Coturnix japonica: one gene and its partner. Each later gene encodes a partner of the first gene's protein in a complex. Links are inferred from orthologs where the notes say so. Each region holds a gene or a part of one and is shown on either strand. Other genes may lie near its edges.

Region 1 (4,303 bases):
TAGTTCTTTTCTGTTGGTTTGGGTAGGGCTGGAAAACGACCAGATACAGCAATCATTACAAACAACACTGGCTCACAGGGATCCTCATTTCCCTTACTAACATTTTTCAGATATCCTTTTTGTCTTCTGCTTCCTTAACCTGATGGCTGCTCTGTTAAAAGCACAGCCAGATGTGCCAGTAAGATAAATTACCTGGTGGAAACACTGAATGAACTGAACATGGTAAGCAGAACAATCCTAAGTTTCTCATTGTTTCTCATAGTCTTGTCTCCACTGATGATGCTTCTCTTTGTACAGACATATGCTTTCTACCCTTGAAAAGAAGCACAGCACACTGAATAAATATCTTAACCAACTATGGAATAGAGGCTTGTCTGATAGATCACAGGCAATGTCAGGGACCTGAAGAATCCTATACTGAAATACTTGAGATTGTCCTGTATTAGGCCAAAATAGGTTAAGTCAAAATGTAAAATGGAGCCTTGATTTGTAAACAAAGTTGATCCATTTACATACAGGAATATATTATAGCAGAAAACCGTTTAAAGTTTAAATACTGTGCTCCTATTATGGGAATTGTTGAGTAGGCACAAAACACAACTAGATAGTTGTAGCTTTTTGGCTTTGATTGACATTTATAAGAAACAATTTTCCTACTCATATTGGAGACGTAACTGGCAGGAGAAAAAAACAATACATAGGAGGAAGGAAAACAGATTGGAAAAAGCTGTGAAAAACAAGGAATAGGTAGTGACAGATGTGGGAGTGAAGCTGACAAAGACAGGTTTAGAGTGAAGGTTGCCAGCTGTAGGAAATCATTCATTTGCAGCTGAGGATTATGCCAGGCAAGGAAGTAAGGCTTCTTTACACACTAATTGCACCTGCAGTGTAAAAGCCTGGACTTATAGGCATTGATTTCTGGAGCTTAATGGCACAGAGTTTCATTTTTGACCTTCCATTAGTGCTTTCCTTTAAACTTCATTTTGTTGAGTAGGCACAAAACACAACTTGCCACGAAGATGATTAGGGGGCTGGAGCACCTCCCACTATGAGGACAGGCTGAAGGGATTGGGCTTGTTCAGCCTGGGGAAGAGAAGGTTGTGGGGTGACCTCATGCAGCCTTTCAATACCTGAAGGGAACTTACTCCCAGGAGGGGAGTAAACTCTTGCAGAAAGGGCTGACAATAGCAGGACTAGGGGAAATGGTTTAAGTAAAAGAGGGAAGATTTAGTTTGATGTTAGGGGTTAGTTCTTCACTAGGAGAAGTGGTTAGCGCCCTGGAACAGGCTGCCCAGGGAGGTTGTGGATGCCCCGTCCTTGGAGGTGTTCAAGACCAGGTTGGACGGGGCCCTGGGCAACCTGATCTAGTAAAGGTGTATGTTTGGTGCCCTGCTAGGCAGGGGGGGTTGGAACTACATGATCCTTGAGGTCCCTTCCAACCCGGGTCATTCTGTGATTCTAGATAGACTGCTTTTACTGTGGAAGTAAGTTCAAAATAAGAATGTGCACAAGAATTCAAGGCAAGCACCTAGAAAGAGTGGAACAAGCAGGTGAAAGTGCAAGCATGTGTAAGACAGTTCTGAATGCTGTATGCAAAGCCACTGAATTGCAGACTACATCCTTCTTCTCATGAACCCCTCAAATATATATTTTTATACAAACCTCTGTAATAAGAGAAGAGAAGAGAAGAGAAGAGAAGAGAAGAGAAGAGAAGAGAAGAGAAGAGAAGAGAAGAGAATGACAAAACAGTTCAGGAAAACTGTACAGATTTGCCCTGTCTGAGCTTGTCAATCATGGGCATGAGTAAGTAGTAATATAGGAGTATAATTGGAGGAATATGTACCTTCAGAAGGATAACTGTGGTATAGTTACCAGACAGCTAAGGCAAAAAGCATTTTACAGCCACATTTTCCCTGATCCGGCTCTGGGAGTTGAGACCCCTGAGCTGAATATTGCCCTAGTCCATCTTCCTCAGTAGGACGCCTCACTGCTCTTTCTAATTATTTTTATCTTTAATTGCTTTTGTTCTTCATTGGAAGAATCCCTGCAGCCAACTGGCCTACCACTGTTTACCAATGGACATATTTTCCAGAGCAGATGGGACAAAAGTTGCTCCCCAGCTTGAATATAGACATAAACTAGTAGCCACGTGGATAAAAATGTCCGGTTTTTGTCTGAAATTGCATTTGGGTTTGTACCCACTGAGAGCTGCAGCAGGGTACGTTTCTGCTGTATAGTGTGTAGTTATTTAAAATGTAGCAGAAAAATTCCTTCTTGGGGTTTTTCAGCACTCATGAAGTTTTTCATTTAAGTTAAATTAGATGTACAGTAAAGGCAGCATTCAGAGGATTTAGATCAGTGAGATGTCTTTCTCCCCCCATATGTGACACATAGAGAAACAATAAAGGGAGAAGACACCAACTATTTAAGGAAGATGATTTCAAAACTTAGTTAATATTTTCCTGCAAGTATGTCTGTAAAGGTTTACAGTGAGAATAGGCATGGCAGAAAGACTTAGAATAGCCTACAGAGCAAATATGATAAGTAATTTAGAGGAGAAAATTTTTGTATTTACACATATGTATACACATCCCAAATATATATACCTCATCTCAAACCTGCTCTATAAGTGTATATATTTCATAATCATGTGGATGCTTAGAAAAACACTTTACTCTGGCATTGTTATATGGTGTTTAAGGGCACTAAAACAACACATCCATGACAAAAACATGACCTATGGCTTATTCCTACTTAAAACAGAAAATCAAAGTATATTCAGAAATGTATATTATGTTCTGGTTTTTCAGATTTGATTTTAATATTTCTCACATGATCCAATTTGAAATTTCCAGCAGTCTCTAAATAGTGTCTTGTGAATGAGATTTTTCAGCGAGAAATAACTGTTTTTAGTATTTAATAAAATAAATTATGTTTTCCTCTTTCTTTTGCCAGAGCATTCCCATTTGACTTCTAATAACACCTTTTATGAGTAATTACTAAGAATTAGGTGAAACTTTGAGGAGGTCTCTGTTTGCAAGCTATAAAATTGAAGTTGACGGTTCTGGCTTTCTTCACTGAACTGCAAACAAAATTTAAATAGGTAAGAAAACTGTACAGTTGTGGTTTGAGCAAATAGATGCACATCAGGTTTAAAACCAGAGTGAGTGTGAATAGAAACTGGGAGCGTGTTACTTGCATATTTAAAAGAAGCTTTACTTGCTTCAAGCAGCTTAAGGAAAAAGAGGTTTTAAAATGAAACACTAATTGTAACTGGACTTTTTTAATGCCTTTGTCATAAATACTTTTCCTTCCTCATTTTTTTTTCATTTCCCACAAGACTAAAAAAATAAATGTTACAGAATAAAGGGAAAATACTGAGAAGAAATTAGGTATCCAAGAAACAATGCAGTAGCCACAGCTCACACTATGACTGCTTTACACTGCTTTGTTTGTGCAAAGAATGCTTATTATCAATGACGGTGATTACAGGAAGGATGAGACCGGTATGCATGAAATTGCATATGTAAGATAATGCCTTCAGAAACACAAACTGTTTGTAAAAGCAAAATTGACCATACAACAACTAAGTGTATCTTCTTCATATACAAGGATTACATCCCAAAGATCCATCTTTGTCCAGTACATTTGCCCTATTTGTAAGCCCTTGGATATCTGGGAAGTACCATAGCATCCAAACTAATTGAGGTTTGCTGTAACAAAAAGTGAATGTAGGGAATTCTGAGCAGAATTTGTTCTCAGGGTTTTGCTTCTTCCTTCTTCTGAGAGTTGAATGTTCTCCTTAGCAGCTTTAAAACAGTTTTGTAATGTAAGCAAAGACTGAACAATGAAAATGAATTTAAAACTTACGTGCTTTCTGTCACATTAACTCCCTGCACAGTGTAATACTGTATAAACATAAGCAAATAGCCCAAACTAGCTAAAGCAATTGTTCCTCGGAGTGTGCTTTCTTAAGAATTATATAGAAAAAGCGTGGTACGATCAATAATTTTATCTTGTAACAGCCCATCTGTGGTGGAACTCTGGAAACTGCTATTTATTTTCAGTTTTTGAATAACATTTTGAAGTGACTCTCTATGGAAATACTATCAAATGCTCCCAAGAAAGCTTAATGTAATAGTTGAAACAAATCCAAGTATTTGGCATCTCTATTCTCTGTTTCTCAAAAAAAAATACAACTGCCTGCAGTCCAAAATGCAAAGATAATTGGCTAATTTGCAAATAAATATAAAAATTCCACAAATTAAGACCAGTAGCAGAACTTCAACTTGTGCAAGTTGTT
Region 2 (4,250 bases), on another chromosome or scaffold:
CTCTACCAGAACTGTTATTGCAACTGCACCTTTCCCAGAAAGATGGTGATACTTTTCCCAGGCTCCTATGGCTCAATTCGCTGTTGACTATTTAATGGTCTAAGAGCCGTGAGCATCTTTTCCACTAAGAGTGAATCTGAGTTATCAGAAATGCCGGTTTTGTGGGTTGTTTTGTTTTGCTTTGCTTTGTGTGGTTGTTTGGTTGGATTTTCTTCTTTACCCAGAGAGAGGCAGCCATTAAACTGTTTTTTGGATGGGTACTGCTGGAACAGTTTCAGTGTTGTTCCTTCCCAGGAACATGAGCTTTCAACTTAATTTCCTGTTCTCAAAGGAGATTTGGGATTTGCTCTTTTTTTTCTAACTGCCTCAGGGATGGAAACGTCACCTAACGCTATCTGATGTGGGAGATGAGGGCCACAGAGATGACTGGAGCATCACCCTTATGAGGAAAGGCTGAGGAACCAGGGGTTGGTCAGCACGGAGGAGAGAAGGCTGAGAGGGGATCTTGTCAGTGCTCATAAATACCTGATGGGCTGGAGTCAGTGGATGGGGCCAGGCTTTTTTTCAGTGGTATGAAGCAACAGAACAAGGAGCAATGGGCACAAACTGGAACACAGAAATTCCACAAGGACATGAGGAAGAACTTCTTTACTGTGCAGCTGAAGAGCACTGAACAGGCTGCCTAGAGAGGTTGTAGAGTCTCCTCTGGAGATATTCAAGACCTGCCTGGACACTCCCCCACACAGCCTACCACAGAGGGACTGCTGTAGCAGGGGGTCGGACTAGGCGAACTCCAGAGTCCCCTTCCGATACATGTGATTCTGTGACGACAATCAGCCCTGCTGCTCAGTTCTGCCCTCCTTTTCAGGGACCAAGCCCCTGGTTAGAGGCTGAAACGTGGCGAGAACGCTTGCACAGCACCATCCCCTTCAACACTCTCTCTGCCATCCCTCCCCGCGCCCCATCCATCAGCTCGGGAGCCGTCGGGCCGCTTTAAGGGGCCGTGGGATACTCGGGTCTGCGGAGCAGCGCTGGGCAGCCCCAGGCGGAACCCCGCCGCCCTCTGCCGACAGCCGCTCGAAGAGCAGCGGAGACCCTCGAGCCGAGACCGGCGGCGGGCAGGGACGGGGCAGGGGGCACAGCCGGGCGGCACAGCGCGCAGGGGGAACGAAGTGGGGCGGAAAGGCCGTTCCCTGTGCGGGAGCCCCTTCTCCCCGCGGACACCGCAGCGCCAGCCCGGCACACGTGGCCCCGGGAGAGCAGCGGAGTCTTATAAGCAAGCCCGACTGCGCGCCGCCCTCCCCGTCCGAACTTCGCATCCAGGCGGGAGGCGGGGCGGGAGGGAGAGAGGGAGCCCCGCTCCCCCCGAGGCGGAGCCCGGCCGCGGCCGCCGCTGCGTCAAAGCTGTGCAAACACCGCCGCCGCTATTTAAGGGGCCGCGGCGGAGCAGCCCCCGACATCCCGCTTGGACGCACGGCGGCTTTCCGTGGTCCTCTTCACTCCGGCCTCGGGGAAGGAAGGGAAGGAGAAAGGTAGGGAGAGGCACTTGGGCGGTGCGGGAGCAGCCGCGGGAAGGACAGGTGCCCTTCGCTTCTGTGCGTTGCGAGCGGGCGGACGAACTTCGTTTTCCCTTCTTCCGAAGTGAAAAGGTGATGCTCGGTGCTGGGTTTCACATACGCGGGATAATTCACGCGTCTTTATGACGGGAAGTTGCCCTCCTGCCGGGTGCGTCGTTTCTCCTCTTAGCCCCGTTTCCAGAAGTGCTATTTCAGATGCTGTGCTCAAACTGTGCCGCTTCCCTCTGGGTTGTTTCATCCGATCGTTGTTTCTTTACGGAGGTGGCAAAAAATCGTTTTGTTTGAATTGTGGTTTGCACAGTTCCGGTGCACATCGTTGCTTGCCCTCTTAAATCAGGTGATGGGGTGGGGTGAGATTTTGGGGGTAACACAGCTTTATTCCTTCTCCTCTTGTACAAGACAGCTTCTTCAGGGCTCAATTTCAGACCAAGGAGGGGTGGGGGAGTAAACGCTCTTTGCTGGACGTGTCAGAATTGGGTATCTGTGATAGCAGCAGATTGCAGTACAGCAGCAATGCACGTGGCTGCCCGGACCCTGCGAGTTTTTGCAGAGCTGCGTAGGTTTCCTTTAGTTATTACTGGAATGCAGCTTCCAAAACAGAAAAGAACCACGTAAGGGAGACATAGCACATACTCGAGGAGAGATAAAACCAGTTCGCTGTGGTGTTACCTCCTCTTCCCAACAGATAGCTAATAGTCACGCGTACCTTCTAGATGAGAACAGATCCCACAGCATTAAACTGCATTAAAAGAACAAAGTTTCCTCAGAACGCAGCGCCTCCGAAGAAGACGGGGCTGGGGGATGACGCTCAGTGTGCTCCATCTTTCCGACCCCCTGACGTGCCTTTTCTCTCCCCAGCGATGTACGGCGGTATCTGCATCTGCGTGCTCCTTGCTGCGCTGTCGGTGAGCTCCTTCGGCCAGCAGCCCGCGGGCTCACACGATGGCAGCCCGCTGGCTGCTGAGCTCCAGCAGAGCCTGACAGAGCCCCACCGGCACAACCGCTCACCCTCCTCGGCGGGGCCGCTGAAACCCGCCCCGCGGCTGGATGGCAGCTTCGAGCAGAGGGCGGCTATCGGTGCGCTGCTGGCCAAGTACCTGCAGCAAGCCCGGAAAGGTACTGCTCGTCTGCTGCCTCTGTGGCACGGCTTTTCCACATACTAATCCTGCCATCATCTAGCACTAACTCCTGCATTCCTATAGGAGATAGGAAATAGATTTTGTCTGGCTATTCCCGAAGTAGAGACCATTTCCTTTCCCACTTACTGTAGAACTAAAAGGAAAAAAACCAACCCCAAAGCTATTGTTACATAGCAGTTGCCTTGGGACAGAATCTTGCAATTAATTAAAGCCTCCCCAGCATTCAGTAATGGGATCGTGAAGCTCCAGGAGAGTACTGGAATCACAAGGCTTCACCTTTATCGTGTGATTTATTAATTGCTTGAGCAAACAGTTGTTACCTATTTGAAATGAGTTACACCATGGGCAATGTAATTGCTCTGGCCACCAAGGGAGGAACGTAACTGCAAACCTCAAGAAAAAAGCACAGTATGGCTTTTGAGGTTATGCAGATCTTGTTTGCTTGCAGTAGCTTCTCTCATTTATCCCCTGGTAAAGAGATTGCATTAGAAGTTAGGATTACTTGGACATACAGGGAGTGACAAATTAATTGACTCCCAGCCCTGAAGTTTGTTTAGGATGAAATTTGCTTGATAATTGAGAGCCTTCTCCTCTCCTGTCTCTCCACACAATCATAATGCACAACATTTACTCCTCTCTCCATAGCCTCACTGCTGAGCTCTTTGCCAGGCAGCATCCCAGCTTTATTTTTGGTGGTTGCAATAAAGAGATGGCACCTGCATTTTATGCATTACGCATGCTGATGCACACATTCACCCCTGTATGCAGAGGAGGGTTGAATCAGAAACAACAGTAAAACACTTTTGATGTATTTGGAGGGACTTCTCCTCACACTATGAATTCTCACAGCATTACATTAAGGAATCCTGCTGGAAGAGTCTACAAGGCAGGCAAAAGTCTACAAGGTCTTCCTTTCCTTTCTCCTGTGTAGCTACAACATTCCCTTCCATTATCTACCTGATGTTTCCAAATAGCTTAACCAGGTGAGGTGAGGAAAAGGGTTGAGACTTAGGATGTATTTTTGGTAAGTGTTTAGGAGAATTGCCTGCATACACATTCATAAGTATGAATTTTTAACCCTACAAAATGACTCTTGAGAGGAGGATGGAATTCTTGTAGCATGACTGAGCTAGCTGGGCACCAGTGTGCAGATGTACTTGCTGGTACAGAAGAGAGTCAATACAACAAAGCAGTATTAATTTATATCAGTGCCAATCAACTGCTTTTCCGTAAGAAAAACCCAATTATATTCTTATTTAATATGAAAGTTCAGGGCAGCGCTTCAGAAATCTCTGCAGGACATTTACATCTGCTATTTTAGCTTGTCTGAACACACACTAGAAAATTCCATCTGAGAGGATGGGGAGGCTGGGCATTTACTAGCATTAGCAGTCAGCAGTGATGGCCTTTGCTCTTGTGGTTAATAGGAAAGCTTATTTTGGACAGTGGGAGTTAAATTCTCCCAGGAGGGTAGGGCTAGATGGCAGCCTTGTAGCCAGACTGCTGCAGTTCTGAAGCTGTTCAGTGTATGTTG

The links.
Region 2: the proteins of CCKAR (region 1) and CCK are in contact, whole or in part, in a cryo-EM structure (PDB 7MBX), measured with the Homo sapiens proteins. The link is inferred for Coturnix japonica from reciprocal best matches to the Homo sapiens genes CCKAR and CCK. Residues at the interface, in NP_000721.1 of Homo sapiens: Cys94, Phe97, Asn98, Pro101, Asn102, Lys105, Asp106, Phe107, Thr118, Met121, Gly122, Val125, Tyr176, Phe185, Asn194, Met195, Cys196, Arg197, Phe198, His210, Leu213, Leu217, Ile329, Phe330, Ala332, Asn333, Arg336, Ala343, Glu344, Leu347; in NP_000720.1 of Homo sapiens: Asp96, Tyr97, Met98, Gly99, Trp100, Met101, Asp102, Phe103.

What each region holds. Positions count from the first base shown.
Region 1 is NC_029519.1:66,250,660-66,254,962, forward strand, and holds the start of CCKAR (cholecystokinin receptor type A), read left to right. Parts: upstream 1-1,408; 5' UTR 1,409-1,803; intron 1,804-2,955; 5' UTR 2,956-3,103; intron 3,104-4,303. UniProt on the Homo sapiens protein: Receptor for cholecystokinin. Mediates pancreatic growth and enzyme secretion, smooth muscle contraction of the gall bladder and stomach. Has a 1000-fold higher affinity for CCK rather than for gastrin.
Region 2 is NC_029517.1:40,254,320-40,258,569, reverse strand, and holds the start of CCK (cholecystokinin), read left to right. Parts: upstream 1-1,347; 5' UTR 1,348-1,532; intron 1,533-2,433; exon of another isoform or gene 2,434-2,435; 5' UTR 2,436-2,437; coding exon 2,438-2,693; intron 2,694-4,250. UniProt on the Homo sapiens protein: This peptide hormone induces gall bladder contraction and the release of pancreatic enzymes in the gut. Its function in the brain is not clear.